Linked DNA regions of Neodiprion lecontei. The protein of the gene in region 2 purifies or fractionates together with the protein of the main gene of each other region. This does not show direct contact. Links are inferred from orthologs where the notes say so. Each region holds a gene or a part of one and is shown on either strand. Other genes may lie near its edges.

Region 1 (6,635 bases), on a different chromosome or scaffold from region 2:
GTAATTAGCATAGGATTACAGAAGATTATCGTCTCCCAGGACAGCATTAAGGTAGTTCCTGCCATTTTCGTACACACAGACATGCGCCCCTCAAGTACACAAGCTTTGTTGGCGGTCTCTCTCACTCTCGTTGGCTCGCGTCGTACGTACCGTAAAATCCTCAACTTTGGATTAAAATTACTCTGAAACGGTACAGTGAAATATATATTACAATCAGCGAGGGAAGTTTTTGTCCGATGCTTTAACATACTCATTTTTCATTAAGATTCTCAGAGATAGGAAGTCAGGTGTAGATAATTGAAACTTTGACAATTAATATCTCGAGATTGATACGGTCAAGCTCACTCAATTTTGATAGCTGATGTAAAATACTGTTATGAAAGTGTGTACTTTTTTCTTAGAACGATTGTAAGAAAACTCATTTTGGGAGGAACTACCATAATAATATAAGCTATTATCGCGGTAAAGTCCTTATACTGTATAATTAAATACTCAGATACACACAGTGTATGTTTGCCTAAAGCTTAAGTAGTAACGGTAATATCCATATCCTAGAGACGCGAATTGTTAATTTGCCGCCTATCACTTTCCGATATACCTAGAAAATTTTTCAACATCGACTTACACAAATTTACTATAATGATAATAAAACCGTGAGTGTTCAGTGCTCTTATTTTTTATTACCATGTAAATATTGTACAGCCTGTAGGCGATTGAGAGGTTTCAGGTATAGAGGCATAAAGGGTGTATTCTGATGATAAAAATAAAAAATTGAAAAGAACAACAATTTATTTCACTACGTAGGTAAATACCTATCACAATTTTACCTGGCTTTCGAAGTTGCATTAACCTGATCCCATCACAGCATAAACAATTGCTGATATAAATAGTTTCAGAACATCATCCGAACCAATGACTTCCCATACAGTCTCTCGTCCATTCCGTCTGACAAACCCAGCACCACTGGAAACTACAGCCAGCTCTTGTACAAACCATGTGCATACAGCCACCTGCCAATCATTATTGTTCCCCAATCTCAATAGTTCATTATCATTTCCATATCCAAATTATGGCAAATATAACGGGCAAGCGAGTTAAAAACTCTTAATAAGGTAAGACTGAAAAATATACGTGAATAAGCTTACCATCTCGTTCAGTCGGTGTTCTACATTTCGGACATGGTTTCGTCGATATTTGAATGGTCTTCTTACTCGCTTCGTCCCACTTGGCCTGGAATTAAAATTAGGTTATCTGTGTGATTGTTTATCGATTCAAATAAGTAAATAAAAATAGTGTTACTTACCTCGCTAGCTCGCAGAGGATCAATTGCATAGCCTGAAAGACAGGAGACGGCGGAGGTAGAAGAATACGTCGTAGGCTGTTGTGAGTCACATTCACCTACGTGGAAACCTTGCAAGCATCGCCTACAGAAAACATACTATGGGAAAACACTGAATTATAGTGGTTTTTCAGCAGTGAGTAAGAGCTAAATGTCCTCGAGTACTGGCAACAATTTTATCACGTACCCCACAACCACCAATACATTGAATTCTACGACAGTCGTCCTCATCCGGGGATCGACTACGCTCCTCATCAGTCTGATCAGGTGGAATAATTCCCATTCCGCAATCAGGCCTCGGGCACAGAAGTCCTCCTGCCCTTAGAACGTATTCCTCAGTTCCAAATCGTTGGTACTGCTCATACTGTAATTTGAATTGCATTCATTCATTGGTAATCCAATGATATTTATGGAATGAGTGTGACGGTGAAAGTAGAAGAGGCCAATAATTTTAGGTACCGCTGTACCTGCTCAGGTGAGAGAAGACGGAAGTGATGAACTTCGGATATGTGCGAATTTTGGCAACCAGCCGGACATGGCAAGGTATAGTATCCGTGGTTGTCGTCAAACTCAAACTGACGATCCCGCAGACGAGCCACGCAATAGTCCCGGAAGCAGTCCAGGCAGGTTACATGTCCAGCCTCGCAAGGGAAAACCAGTACCGTGTCCCTGAAAAGTATTAACAAAGCTTGTATTAATTCTTCTTACGTTTACTTCTACACCAATTATTTATGTGCCAAATCAAAGCTTTACCTTGTATCCGTGCAAGCCAGACAAGGTACATTTCTCAGATTTGGTTTAATCAAATAAAGCGGTACCGCCTCATCTTTTTCTCCAAGACTCACGTGATTGGCGCACTTGAAATAAAACTGCGCGTATCTCACTTGAGGAGTACCTTCATCCTTCTGTGCTAAGGAAGACAGTAATGTCTGACAATCGTGATTCTCACAATGTACAGTTATTCTACGAGGCTGCTGCACGTCAGGCCAACACTGAGGGTCTCGATCCACAGTCACAGCCCCGCTACCACATGTCGCGCATCTCACTCTCAGCTTTCCTGCTTCCACTGATTTACATGGCAGCGAACAGTAAACGTAAAAATGGGCACGGGCTTGTTGCTGCTCTGTAAAATCATCACAACCACCAAATTCAAAAGAGTATTGTGATAATAATTACAGCTTAAAAACACTGCAGTGTAATTACGTAAACATATATTGACCAATTTTTTTGTTCCGTTCAACAAGAAATCTACTACTCGAGAATTCTATCGTCAAGACTTTAATCCTACAAAAGTCATTGCAATGGGGAAAACTAAATGTATGAATACCCTGCTCGCTGTGATTTTCATGACGGTCCGAATCCTCCAATGGTAAGTCGATCAAAGTTTCGTTCAGAGGTTTGCTTCCACTTTCATTTGCTTCCGATCCTTCATCTATAGATTCTTCGATAAGATTTTTAGTATCTTTTTTTCTATTAAGGCGATTTTTTCCGGGTGGCAATTTTATGGCATGCAAAATACTTTGCTGACCAAGATCGCATTCCTAGACAACAGATAAAAATATTTACATTTCAGATTAGAATTGAGGTTAGGTAGAAAAACACAATTGTTAATAACTAAATTTTGTACCGTAATAAAACGACACTTTACTGCTGATTATACGATTGTTAACATACCTCTATTATCGTGGAATTGTGCAACTCTTTACCAGCAAATATGATCTTGATATCTTCGGGAGATATGCCAAGCTGAGGCCCGACGATCTCTTTTAGGTTTCTGATGTCCCATTTCGGATCCAAATCAATGGAGAGCGTATTTCCCGTGTTAGTTTTCACGTAGATACTCAACGAGTTCGATATCTTTCGTTTTCCGAACCAAATCAACTGCAACATTCTCAAAAAGGCACCCTTCAGAAGATTGAACAGAAAACTCATTATAGAGTCTTTAATATCGAAGCAGTTCTACGTAGAATTTTGCTTTACGGTAACACCAAATGTTATCGCGATAAATGTGGAGGAGTACATGTTTGCATATGAAGCGTATTTTCTGCGTCAAATACGTATATTTTACAACCTTCAAAAAATCATTTCGAACCATTCGAACCCAAATTAGGTGCGAGATATATTCTAGTCAGACGCAGAGTGCAGCACTTGACTGTTGGGGCTGATAAAGGACATATTCTATTCGCCATCTTTTGAAAATGAAATGGTTGAAAGACTCACCTGATTGGTCAATATTCGAATATCAGCCAACCGGCTGCTTTTTCCAAAGCTTTCATTTTCAAAACGTGACAAATAAAATGCACCCAATATTTCACGCAGCATCGATTCAAATCAGGTAGCTCAGACCTGTACAGATGAATATTTATATACCGATCTGTTACTAGCCAAAGTATATACTATGTACGTTACCTTAATTATTCGATTGAATTATGAATTTGCAATCAATTCTTCCCCATGCGGGAGTTTTAACAATATTTGAGTTTCGTGCCGATCCCGTGAGCAAATAAAACGCTAGTATAACGGTAGCAACCCACTGAATTTCGGTTGTTTCGGTCAAAGAGGATAGTTTCAATCACGGTTTCAATGCCGAGTAGGCACTGAACTCTGTAATATATTTCGTCTCTACGTTTCTTGGCTTCATAATTATCATCCGATAGCATTGTTTTGGTAAAATAAAGTTCAAAATTTCCACCAGTGAAGATATGAAAATAGCGAAACCTCAATCAGATGTGATTGAAAAGAACCAAAAGTGGTGGCTGCGCTTTGTCCCTGATGCCAAAAAGTGGACCGATGTGAACATTTTAAGGTTTTTAAGCATCTACAAAGTTCATCCTATATTATGGGACCCTACGCATTCATTTTACAAAGATCGATCGAGAAGGATGAAGGCGTACGGTATAATAGCTAGGAGATTGAACTTGCTTGGTGTGAGTGAAAGAGAATGTATCAGATTAATGGAATCTCTGAAAGCCATGTACGCAGAAGAGATGAGGAAACAGATGATCGAAAAAAGATGCAGTCGAAAATATGTGTTTCCGTCAACCTGGTATCGCATTCTTGAAGAGATGATAGAATCTGTTCAAACAAAGTTAGCACAATCATCCGACAAGGGTCAGTAAAAATTACGTTGTCTGCTTCTAAGGTTGTGTGAAAGTAACAAAAAAAAAACTTCTTTCAAGTCTCCTCAGTAAAAGCAGAACCTGCAAAACCATGGCAAGCCTGCTGCCCAAGATTATACACCGAAGATATTTGGACACCGGAGCATTTCAAAACAAACGTCATGAATTGGTTTCTCGCACCGCAAGACCAGCAACTATTTTGCACCTGTCAACATTTTTCCGAAACAACTGTCGACAATAAATCAGACACAGAAAAGAGCTCCGATAATTCAGATTCTGTGTGCAATTCTAGTAACGGAATAAATCCATCAGATTCTTCTGATACGTGCTGTCCCAAGATTTGTGGAGGTAAGATAATCAAATTACTTACGCAAGCGAACGCTGTAGGGTTGAGAAATAATGCTTAATGTTTGATAGAAAATCCAAGCAATCATCACAGTAAAATTCTATGTTGCATAGATTCATTGTACAGCAAAGAAGAGGATAGCGACGTCAGTGTGGATTTGCTGTCATGTTGCGGACAAAATGATAACAGTAATTATCGGTATAAATATGGCAAGAAATCCACAAAATGTAAATCAAAGAAGCAGCACCGATGTATCAAGGAAGATGGAGGTTTATGTGAAGACAATTCATCCTATACGACAATTTGTCAAGAAAAATTGAACGTTTGTGGGAACGAACCTGCAGAGAAACCGTCTACTGAAATTTCGACGTGTCCAAAGAATAAGTTAGTCGATATTCCACTAAAGAATTTAATCTCCAAGGGTCTCTAGTCTAACTGATTAATTTACGATATTCGAGTTCCCCACGGAGATGCAAAAATATTTGTGTATTGGTTTTTTAGTAACGCACTTTGTGACAGTACAAATGTCTGCGGTAATGGATATCAGGACAAACCTTCACTCTGCGGAGGTGAATCGGAAATTAGTAAAGACTCACCAATGCGATGTGACTTGCAAAGTAGCACAGATAAATTCTCTCCCCATGATCCATCACAAATGTCATTCGAAACACCGATGATCCGCCCTTGTGGGCCTAGGCATGTTCTGGATTTCTGCTCCAGTCAAAGTCTTAGTGATGACAGTAAAGGAAGTGAATTGTCGACAAAACGTGAGACCTCAACCACAACGCAATCAAACGATACTTGTCTCTCAGACAGCGGTAAATTATCATCCTCGTTATCAAACAGTTCCGAACAAACCTCCTCAGTAGATTCAAACTGTAAGCCGATATGTGTAAAAGAAGAATCAGATCACAGATTGGATTATCATGTAAGTAGAATTGACTTGTGCATCAAAAATGTAATGCTTTTATAATCTCACTCGAACTACAATTTGCTTTATTGCCTGCATTATTTCACAGCCCGACCCAACTCTGTGTGAGAAATGCGCAGCGGACAGAGTTCCTGTACCAGCAGTGCATAAGAACGTTTTATTTTTCCAAGACCCTGGAATGCCAGAGCTGGATAAGTACTGTCGCTATAAAGACTGGGACCAGATATACAATATCAGAACTCAAGTTCCCGACGAAGAACCAAATATTCAGATAGACACGGACTGGTTACTCATGATGCAGAGTAAAGACGAACCGTCAAAACCAAAGAGAGACAATCATTTGCACACCCAAGCAGATGTACACCTATTTATAGATCCAGAATCGTCTGAAGCTAGACAAGTGAGTTTGAATAATGAATATAAGCATGAATATGGATTAAATATTCGAATCAAGCAGCCTGGGCATTACGCCTGCAAAGTCCCTGATGCACCAGGTGATAAGCCTGCACAGCTTATGTTGTGAATGGGGAAAATTCGGGAAGTACAAAAAGCTTTCGGTGTTATTTTCATGATGCTTAGGTAACTTTTAGTCTGTATTCGCGAGCTTTCAATGACTGAGGTATGGAATATAAATATTTAATAAAGAAGTTGGTATAGTAAGTTGACGGGTTTAAAAGAACTTAAATTTTTCAGCTGTACTAGCTCTTAGCCTTTATAAGGTTTTACCAAGAGCCTCTTTTTATTTTTATTTCTTGATGCATAAATTTTCATTCTCAACACACTGTGCACTAACATACAATTCACACTGTATTTGAAAATATGTTCGATGCGTTAGGATCATTAATATAGATTCATTATAACGCAGTTATTACATTTACCCAAAACAAATGGGCAGTCAAA
Region 2 (10,504 bases):
AGTTGACAATAGTATGGTTGATAGGAGTCTGGTATGCAATAATCAACTGTTTATTAATACGATTCTAACATACATTTAACACTCGTCCAATGAAATTTAATTACCTAGTTGAATTCAACAAAGTATTGGACAATGATATTGATTCTTCGATAATAGATTGCTATCATAATTTTTCAGTATATAAGTATAGTTCTTTCTTTACAATAGATCTAGGATTTGAATGATTATCAAAAAAAAAATATTAACATACATATCAATCACAATCTTGCGCTAATTTTAATAATTTTCTTTAGTTATTCAATTCTACACATACGAAGTGACTCGGTCCAAATAAGGATACGAAATTATACTTAAAGACAGCATGAACTCACTTCTTTTGCAAAATGGAAGCTTGCTGTGGGGATGTATTAGATTAAGCTAGGTACTCTCTATCGCGTTTACGTACTTCTTAGGTTTTGAAATAGAAAAAGGGTCTATACATTGTTCATGCAAAGCTATATCCTCATTTCTTGAAGTTCTTTGCAGTTGTATCTATTCTTATATTATAATAATGAACTAGAGAAAACTTTCAAAGTATGCCAGCTATTGAAGTTCCCCTAATTTAAAATCGTGAGAAAGATCAATGCAATGTTTAAGATGCGTAAGATCTGAGAAAATCAGCTTGCACACAATTTTATGGTACCCGCAGAATTGGGATGTAATCACAAGGGTAATCACAATTTTATACACTCGATTAGTTCAAGAATGTGATTGATAAAATCGGTATTGATTAGTTGACCTTCAAGGTTCTGAGACTAGATATAACATTCCACTTACGGTATTCAAACTTCCAATGAATTTATGTATATACAGACTTCAATATGACGCTTACCTACAATTGTAATTTTTTTATATGTGCGTAATTGAACACTCCCAAGTGATTAATATCGTATTGCGGTAACTATTGAAAATCTAGCAACATACGTTAGATATATATGTTAGATAAAAGTTGACGTTGTCAGGTATGAATTATTGTATAACAACTTTCGTATACGTTTGTTTGTGTATAAAATTCTAAATAAAGCAAAATTCATTGATTTAATCATTGTTCTAAAAATGGTATAAAGATATGAGAGTATAATTGTCATACTGAATTAGGTATATATAAAAAACTCATCCTTCCAGCTGCTTATTGATAGATTTCTAAGATCAAGGAAGTCATCGAATACTTTAGCAGCCTCATTGATTTTTTTGCAAACTTTTTTTCAATTCAATGACTTTAAATAGGCTGCATCAAATAAATCAAGTTCATTAGCTAGATAATTGGCTTTGTTACGGAGGACCTTTGCGTTAGTTGCTGCTTCCTCCAGAGTACGAAGAGTAGTTGCAATCGTTTTAAGTTCCACGTCCATTTCGGACGTCGCCTCATCCACCAAATGACACAGACGAGCGAATGTACTCGATAACTCTCTGCACAGTAATAAAACAATTCTTTAGAATTTGTATTTCCGTAAAAAATTATTTGCTATTATACTACATTTGGTACGTTTGACTTTGACTATTCTGAAATGAAAAATGTACAACCAGAAGAATCAGAAATCAATATGCTGAGTACACTATAAATTGATGTTCATCCTGGAAATTATCCAGTTGACATAAATAAGTGAAAGAAAGAACTTACTGTTGTACTTGGTGACTACAGTTGGCAGATGTTAAGTCAACAATTAATCTTAGCTTTTTAGTTGCGTGGTTTACATATTGTTGCTTGAATGTTTTTTCTTTAGCTTTTTTTGTCCATGTTAACCTTTCGTATAGGTACAATGCTCCATAAACAGCACCAGTTACGGCTATGAGCCTCCACCCAACTGTTTTCAACATCTGGAATAGCATTTATTATGTCAATTCAAAATACAGAGTACTCTGAAATATAGTTAAAAAATCACCGTGGTCATTCAACACTTACAAAGCCAGCAACGAGTAACCCTCCCATAGTGCCCTGAGATGTTATTGAGGCAATTGCGACACGAGTTGCCAATGACCAGTCATCGCCTCTTGAGGGGATGCAAGTTGGACTTGTTACAAATTTCACCGAATCTATACTATCTGTAGGGGACATCAGTTGAGGTATCTATTGAAAATCAGAATAAAAGTTTTCAACATTATAATGTAATACACCATAGCTCAGACGGCGTGTAGAAGAAAGTGTCTTTGACTCACTGCTTGAGGATGATTAGAAATCGCTAGTTTGTGTCCTTGTTTTCCTGCAAATCTATTGATCAAAGCAGTGATTCCCCAAGAGAATCTAAACTCTAAATCCTCGTGGAAATCCGCGCAAAGATTGTCACAATTCAAGCGATACAAAATTTCAAATGGCTCTCGTCTCGGTAAAATATTAATCGACAATTGCTTTTTATTATCTGGTAGTAAACTAGCCATACGCTCGGTCATCTCACGTTGAGAATTTTCGATATTCAATGCTAACGCAGTGCTGAGTCTTGCACGTAGATTTGATCCTGCAATTACAAATGATATTTCAAAGTCAGTCGATATTGTATGGCACTTTACACTGAAAAACATGAGGCTTAAGTAAAAATGGAGACGAAGACTAACCTAATCCATTTTCAACGTGACTGTGAAGTTCTCTTTTATAAACATTTAGCACTAAAGGTTCTGGGTGAAATGGAACGCTAAACTCATCTACTAGTACAGCCAATCTTCTAATTTCTTCATTCAAAGCTTTCGAAACTCTTTGCTCAACGTCTTCAACCATACGGTGAATCTTGTCTTTCATTTCCTGGGTAAGCAGCATTAGTTGTTGTTCTGTGAAGTTCAATTTGTCATGTACTTCTTTCTTCACGGTCAACTGTGAAGAACGCATCTTTTGTGTTCGTTCAAGTATCTCATCTAGTGTCGATCGAATTTCCCTGAAATGAAGGTCATTTCAAGTTATATGCCGAGTTTAGTGTTCTTTCCATCTTTGGGGCTATACTTTACTGTCACTTTCTTGTAACTCAACAAATTTTCTATGAAAAAAAAAAAAAAAAAAAACGAGTGAAAATGATGATAACTCACATTGCAATATGTTTTCCTCGTTGGGAATGTTGCTCAAATTTAGTCTTCACCGCCGATTTTGAAATGCATTCCTCAAACTTACGTTCAAAGTCTTGAAATTCGAAATAACGATTTTGGAAACCATCCGCCAGTGCTCCATCTGTAATTTTTCATTGACTATTTGGTATATGAAATTGCACTAACTTAGAACAACTTATGTTTATTAGTAAAGAACTTACTATGAGCAGGTTGACCTCTTTGTTCTTGTAGTCGCGCTTGAAGTGTTTCTTTAGCAGATATAAAGAAAACTCTTTCCTCGGCATCCTTGGGTGTATAAACCTTCAGTTCTTTGGAAAGGAAATCGACAGCTCGTTCTTGATGTTGTGCCCTGACCTGTACAAAACAATTATGTGAACATGGCGACAGTTTAAATATTAATATCTGAGGTATAAGATGGTGACACAAATCAGATAAGTAAAATTCTGATAAGAAAGTTCCTGAAAATGTGTAAGTAAATGGCTACATCAGTAGAATTCTTTTGAGAAATAAAATAGAATTTAATTTGATTACATCTGAAGCAGTAATTTATTGGGAATTATAACCGTAGTTTACTGAGTAGTGAATCATTACTGCAATGGTGCGAAAAATCATACAGGAATGCAATGCAGCTGTGAAAATAAATTCTGGGAACAAAAAACTGAAAAATCGTTACAATTTGTAAAAATATAAATGATGTGACCAAATTCGTCTCATTTTTCGCGTAGGAAAGTGTTGGAAAAAAATTAACATGTCTCATAAAAAAAGTCACGAACAGAGTTTAATAGCATAAGGATTTTCAAATGTAACGAATATACCAAGAATAGAAAAATGTCTGATCCGGTAGCAATTAAAATCTAGAGACAACACAGACAGGGTATCGGAGAATCATCGCACGTATCTTGCATGCGTTAACCGTCATTTGAAAAAATGCTCTTTTTGTCTGTGGTCAGTGAATAATTTAACATTGTGCAAGCTTCTACCAAGTGATTACAGTTTTATATTAATGAAAGGCTTACCTCCCTTTGTTCATTGACCAGCTGAAGGAAAAATGAGACATTACTCCTTTTAAAACTGGGACTAACCAAAAGAAAAAGAACAATAACGACCTAGGGACTTGGTAATTTAGAACTAATTTAGAACAAAACATCAATAATAAAAAATGGTGTTGTAACTTCCCTATATAGTATCTATCATGTTTTTGTTTGACATGAATCTCAACAAACCCGATGTAACAAGAATCATGACTGAAACATAGTTAGGTTTACCATCATTATTAATGGAGTTGAAGTAGTTACCTGATCAAAGAATTCTGGTTCCGAAGCAGAGGCGTCCCAGCGATTGTTGAGGATGAAAATGTTGGGCTTGGACAGCTTCGTAGAAACTTTATGGAAAAAATTTTTTTCCTAATTGTAAAGAAAAAAGAAAATGATAATTCACATTGATTTCTTTACAACAGTACATGTTTCAGAAACTTACAGTGACCATAAGAGTGGATTCTGCATTTGCGACTAAAACAAAGACATCTGCATCCAGACAATGCTTATCAATCCACTCATCGAGATTGGGTGTTACGTCGACACCAGGACTATCGACAAATACCACATCGTCTCTTAACAGTAGACATTTTTCTCTTGGCCAGAAAATTCGTACCAAATGACTTTCACACAATTTTTCTTTACACAACGCATGACCAAGCTGACCCACGGATTGTACGGGCTGTTTTTCTGTAGATCCTTCAGTGATCAGGTAGGATTCACCGTTGTCTGACCCTTCAACTTGAAGGAAACAATTTGTGGTATGTCCAATGCCACTTGGCAATATTTTATCTCGCAACATTGCATTTATGACCGTACTTTTTCCATTGCTGGTTCTATTAAGGAGTAAATTATCTCTTTGTTGATGATTATAGATTGGATGGTTGAAAAAAAATTTTTTTGCAAGTGTGACATTTTTACCAAAGTAATATGTTATGCTTACCTTCCGAAAAAAGCAACTTTCATATGATCTCGTTTAAGCACATCTCGTATTGCGTGTACTTTATAGACATAGGATTCAATTGTTTCTGCTTCTTGTGTATTAACGATATCACGATCATCTCTTAAGGCTGCGGAATGATTGAGTTGAGTCTACAAGTATCGAAGAAAACCTTAAACTTTATAAGGATCATTTAAAACTTACAATGCATGAATCCGACTGCATCTTGAACGTAGTCATCTATCTCTACGAAGATATCGTTGATTTTCTTTTTAGCCTTGACAAAGATCTGCAGAGGAGAATTATCAGTTCTGAGGTCGTTCGATCGGTGCTGACCATCTCCCCCAATCATGGATATCGTACGATTGATATAAGCAGCCATTTTTGCTTATATTTTGTTGGACAACGATTTAATCAGCAAAGTAAGGGTAACACAGTGCATATACAAAGCAGACGGGATTTTCAGATGCAGTGCACACAGCATGCAGGAACAACTGAAAACAATAAAATAGCAGAACAATAAACTGGCTAATAAAGGATCACGTACTAGATACATATACCATTACTGCTTTTCAGCACAAATCATTATCACATGTATGTCTGTATCCATTGTTTCAATAATTATTACTACGTTTTTAAACAGTAATAAGGAAAAACCTAACTCGACAAATTGAAATGTTTCTTAAACACGTGAATATTGCATAGATCAATCTGAGTAAGAGATGCAGACGTACTTAATGCTAATTAGTGCTAAGTGAAAAAATTGATAATATAACTAAAATCGGACTACCATCTAAGAATAGCGACAATATATTGAGACGAGATACTACATAAATCAATGCAATAAAATCTTGATAGGATGAACAAGAATAATACTAACGCATTAAGAAAAATAAGAAAATAAAGCTACCACAGAATGTCAATGGTGCTACTACAAATCAGACTAGAATGCTAAAATTCTGGACTAAATTGCTTGAAAAATAAATACTTCAGTTTTATTAAAAGGTTGAAACCTGTTTATTCCGATGCATCAGTATGCTTTTCTCTGTGGAAAAAAATTTTGTTGATTGAAGAGATTCTTAAATGTAGTTAATTTATACTACATAAGCTTTGTAATTTTTATTAGGTAAGAAGTTTTAAGTAATGTAGATGAAAGCTGGGAAAATCGAGGTTGTAGAGCTTGTCTCATGATACGCACTGTTCTTGCAATTGCGCAGTTCTGTACAACACATAGGTCGCAAAATGTGAAATGCGTTTTTGGGCGAGATTGTGAATGATGTAAAAGCGAACCTAACCTAACCTAGCCTAACAAGGTCAGAAAAAAACGAATATTATGATTGAAAATACGAAACTGACAACGTACAAGATTCGCAATGTTCCAAGTACTTGTTTATTAATCTCGACGAAACTTAGTGAATTGACATTACGCTTACAATAAACTGAGTTTACTCGTTAAGTCCACAATAAGCACACACCACTAAAGGTGACTACAAGCCATCAACGAAAGAACAGGCGACTGCAAACAAGTCGCTCACTGACATGTGTGCCAACAGTAGTCAAATTTCGATCTAAATCTTTTAGCAATCTGACCTTTGACTCATTTTTTAAGCACGGTTTGCGGAAGCTGCACCGCCGGACTTAATCTTTCCGTTTAACCTCCCACTTTCTAGATGCATATCTCTCAGCATCTTCAATCAGGTTCAATCTCCGAGATGATCTCTAATTAAGAAGGGGAAAAGAAAGATCTGAATTATGTGAGGTTGCCAATGACCGTCGGTGAGTGAACTTGGAGCTCGTCGTGTCACCTGCACGCACCTGTTACGTCACAGAAAGGTATATATTGATATACATAGATATATTTCGTTGGATTTAATCATTATTAACGTCTATTGTTGTCAAGCTGTTTGATTACAATAATCTACGAACGCGGTGTTCTGAATTGTTGTCGAGATACGATCTCACCACCAGATTATCATTCACCGGTTCAACTCAACAAAGAAAAATCTACCGTTCTTACATTTGCGTAAAATGTCGCAGGTATAACCAGAGATGAGTAGGGAGATCCCGGAGATCTCCAACGCTCGGCTTTTCGTGATACCAGCTAGGTTGGAGCGTCGACGAGACACCTAGGCGGCCACGCACCGAAGGTGGCCCACAATCGTGTATATATACATATACTCGGTCGCTCGAACAAGTGGTTGCCAATCGCATCCTTGTCCCCGCTCGCACAGATGTTTCCAGGAATGCAAGAATTGGGATTTTTTTGTTTCAATTATGAATGTCAGCGAATAAAAGTATCTCCAGATTTGATAAATTTTGAACCAAAATAATTAACCATTCCCAGCCCGAATACTTTTTTTTTTTTTAATAAATATTATTTTTTTATTGATATGAAAATATTTGACGCCTGGTGTTCTCGAATATTTGTACACGCAGTCTATGGAAAAATATACGAAGCCAGCTCGATAACATTTATGCAAAATGTGCAATGGGCAAGTGGTTGGAGGAAATTTTTTTTTTCTCGAACTGAATCTTCCAGAAAACCATCAGCGAATTCCAAGCAAGCTCCATAAACATACCGAGCAAACGCGCGATCACGGACGTAGCTGTGGTGTGGGTGGGATTTCTTTAATTATTTTTTCCCTAATCCTGAGGATATTTCCTATCTGAGACCACTGTCAATAGGCGAGATTCCGGAAATCATAAAATTACCTTTTTTTCTAATTAAAAAGAAAATCACATAAGGCCACTAAGAGCTCGAAATAAAAATCTGAAAAAATTAGAGATGTTTTTTTATATTCGAAGCCATTAACGTAAAAAATCCGTTTAACGTAGATATACATTGTATATGGGGCATTCCACGTCAAATTTGCAACCCATGTACCTCACCCTCTTCGATTTTGATAATTCTTTAGTATGATGTTGCAACCACGGTTTCAATCGACTTGAAACAGTGTCGGAATTTTTTGCAGATTTCTTTAGCCACCACTGAAACAGAAAAAAATTGTAAAACCAATTCCGCAAAAGCTTCTTTTAAAATTCTGAAAAAATTCACACTGATTTTATCCCAATTCGTGCATTCCTGGAAACATCTGTGCGAGCGGGGATAGGGATGCGATTGGCAACCACTTGCTCGAGCGACCGAGTATATCTACATATACACGATTCTGGGCCACCTTCGGTGCGTGGCCTCCTAGGTGTCACGTCGACGCTCTAACCTAGCTGGTACCACGAAAAGCCGAGCGTTGGAGATCTCCCTACTCATCTCTGGTGTTACAAACATTTCTTTTCGCAATGAACGAAGAGGACCGTAAAAAATTAAGAAAAAATTTGGGCAAACTAGTTGAGGAAATAGATTGGCGTGAAATATTTCCATTGCTACTGCAACACAAAATTTATGGCGAAAACTATAAAAAGATTCAGAAGTGGCAGGTAAGAATGCGACACAAGATACGTATGCTATTCTCCTTTGCATATCACATTAATAATTTTACCCTGTGTATTATTCACTTCTCTCTCTTTTGTTTCCAATTACACCATGTATTTTCTGAGAGAAAGCACTGAAATATGTTTTTATTTTTTGCTTGAATGATTCATCTGTAGAAACGTTTCCATGTATCTCGTTCCATTTACATTTATACTGAAAATCTACAGTATACGTCACTTGGACTATACCATTTTCAGTACTGACAGTACTTTCAGTCAATTTCCGAACACGCCCTTAGTCTATGATTTGTCTGCTTGTTAAATGTATTATTTCTGTGTATTTCTAATGCTTAGAAACGCTTGGATGACATGGATAATAATCGCGAAATATATTTGACTATAGAGTCACGTGGTCCTAGAGCATTCGACAGTTTTGTTCAATGTTTACGAGAAGTGAATCGCAATGATTTAGCAAATTTACTAAAACCAAATGAAGTTGACAATAAAAGTGAAGAAACAATTCCAGAAATTAATAGGAATATTGTTGACCCTCTGAATAACCAAGTAATCCGAAACGAATTTTTTGAGTAAGTACAACTTGGACTAAGGAGTGGAGTATATGAAATGTATCAGGAAAAAAATTACCCTTATGATATTATACATAATTATTTCCATTTTCTCTACTGGCATAGGGAAGATGACTATTATAGGAAGCTTCAACATGTCGAAGAACCTCTAAGAATTCGTGTGAAGAAATCAACTAAGTTAATGGAGACAAAGAATGATAATATTTTGAATTATGCCATGTTTAGTAACCCTCGTGGCTTGGTCTTGATTATCAATAACATATTGTTCACTGAAGGAGCCAAGGAAAGGGCTGCTGCCAAACACGATGAGGACAATTTAAAAGAATTGTTTGAACAAATGGGTTTTCAAGTTATAGTTCGGCAAAACTTGACACGAGAGGTAAGTTACTAACATTATCAGATTAGTACATATTTGATATTTGTAGTAAGAATGGGTAGTAAAGACGTGATTAAATGAAAATGTGGCTGAATAAAATTGTTCGTACTTGACCAAGAATGATTCAATGTAAATTCGTAGAATAACATTAAGAACTTCAACCTTAATCAAAGTGATTATGTTACTGATTACGCCATGGAGTATTTATTAAGGACATTCATTTAAAGACTTCATTCTTTTTATCTCTGAAATCTTATATTTTTTACTGCATAATTTTTCCCATTCATGTTTTGAATTAAACAATAAAATTGCAGAAAATGCTAGAAGAAATTTCAGCATTCGCCATGAGACCAGACTTACGTCATGTTCATTCAATGTTTCTTATAATTATGAGCCACGGTAATGAACATGTCGAAGACCATCGTTCGGAAAGTGTAGTATGCGGAACAGACAATAAAATGATAACTGCATTTGAGATTTTTGAATTTTTCACTACACGAGCATGTCCAAACATGTCTAAAAAACCAAAAATTTTCATTTTTCAGACTTGCAGGTATTTATTTTACTTGAAAATGATTCTATTACTTTAAATAATACTTAATTAACTAATGGTTATAATACAATCATGCTTAGATTTTTTACAAGCAATGTTCAAGGAACAGTGACATACTTCTTATCCATGTATAAATGAAATATGATTTTCTTGTACTCACAATCAATATTTTTCAGGGGGCAAAAAGAACAGCGCATGGTGGAATCGGACGAAGTAGGCATCAGCAGACATGAAATAGATACGAGTCAGATGACACCAGAAAATCCATCTGCACAACCGATAGGATCCCGAGAATATTCGGATATGCTTGTTGCTTTTTCTACTTTGCCTGGCTTTGCGTCTTACCGGGATACGCTAAATGGAAGCTGGTTCATCCAGGCCTTTTGTGAAGTCGTGATGAACCATGCCCATGATACAGACTTGCTCAGATTGTTTCAAATAGTAGGTGTTGCTGAATTTCTTCATTTCTAGTTATATCTGTTCGATATTAAGACTGTCCTAAGAGACACAAGCTAGTGT

Evidence for each region. Proteins that work in one complex are often made in the same cells at the same time.
Region 1: the proteins of transmembrane GTPase Marf (region 2) and E3 ubiquitin-protein ligase parkin purify together in Drosophila melanogaster (affinity purification with western blotting; 3 studies listed by BioGRID). This does not show direct contact. The link is inferred for Neodiprion lecontei from reciprocal best matches to the Drosophila melanogaster genes Marf and park.

What each region holds. Positions count from the first base shown.
Region 1 is NC_060260.1:36,826,820-36,833,454, forward strand, and holds E3 ubiquitin-protein ligase parkin, read right to left. Parts: upstream 3,481-6,635; 5' UTR 3,272-3,480; coding exon 3,014-3,271; intron 2,881-3,013; coding exon 2,667-2,880; intron 2,463-2,666; coding exon 2,093-2,462; intron 2,009-2,092; coding exon 1,807-2,008; intron 1,704-1,806; coding exon 1,527-1,703; intron 1,439-1,526; coding exon 1,304-1,438; intron 1,231-1,303; coding exon 1,146-1,230; intron 1,011-1,145; coding exon 901-1,010; 3' UTR 772-900; downstream 1-771. UniProt on the Drosophila melanogaster protein: E3 ubiquitin-protein ligase which accepts ubiquitin from E2 ubiquitin-conjugating enzymes in the form of a thioester and then directly transfers the ubiquitin to targeted substrates, such as Paris, Marf, Opa1, Miro, pnut, Septin1, Tom20 and porin.
Region 2 is NC_060261.1:40,125,152-40,135,655, reverse strand, and holds transmembrane GTPase Marf, read right to left. Parts: upstream 7,082-10,504; 5' UTR 7,061-7,081; intron 6,761-7,060; exon of another isoform or gene 6,634-6,760; intron 6,610-6,633; exon of another isoform or gene 6,407-6,609; intron 6,089-6,406; exon of another isoform or gene 6,057-6,088; intron 5,538-6,056; 5' UTR 5,426-5,537; coding exon 5,248-5,425; intron 5,174-5,247; coding exon 5,047-5,173; intron 4,940-5,046; coding exon 4,546-4,939; intron 4,473-4,545; coding exon 4,365-4,472; intron 4,107-4,364; coding exon 4,086-4,106; intron 3,424-4,085; coding exon 3,270-3,423; intron 3,191-3,269; coding exon 3,052-3,190; intron 2,904-3,051; coding exon 2,590-2,903; intron 2,493-2,589; coding exon 2,197-2,492; intron 2,108-2,196; coding exon 1,943-2,107; intron 1,858-1,942; coding exon 1,661-1,857; intron 1,450-1,660; coding exon 1,245-1,449; 3' UTR 35-1,244; downstream 1-34. Other genes in the region: caspase Dronc, read left to right, coding at 8,338-8,475, 8,824-9,056, 9,156-9,435, 9,747-9,985, 10,162-10,426. UniProt on the Drosophila melanogaster protein: Mitochondrial outer membrane GTPase that mediates mitochondrial clustering and fusion.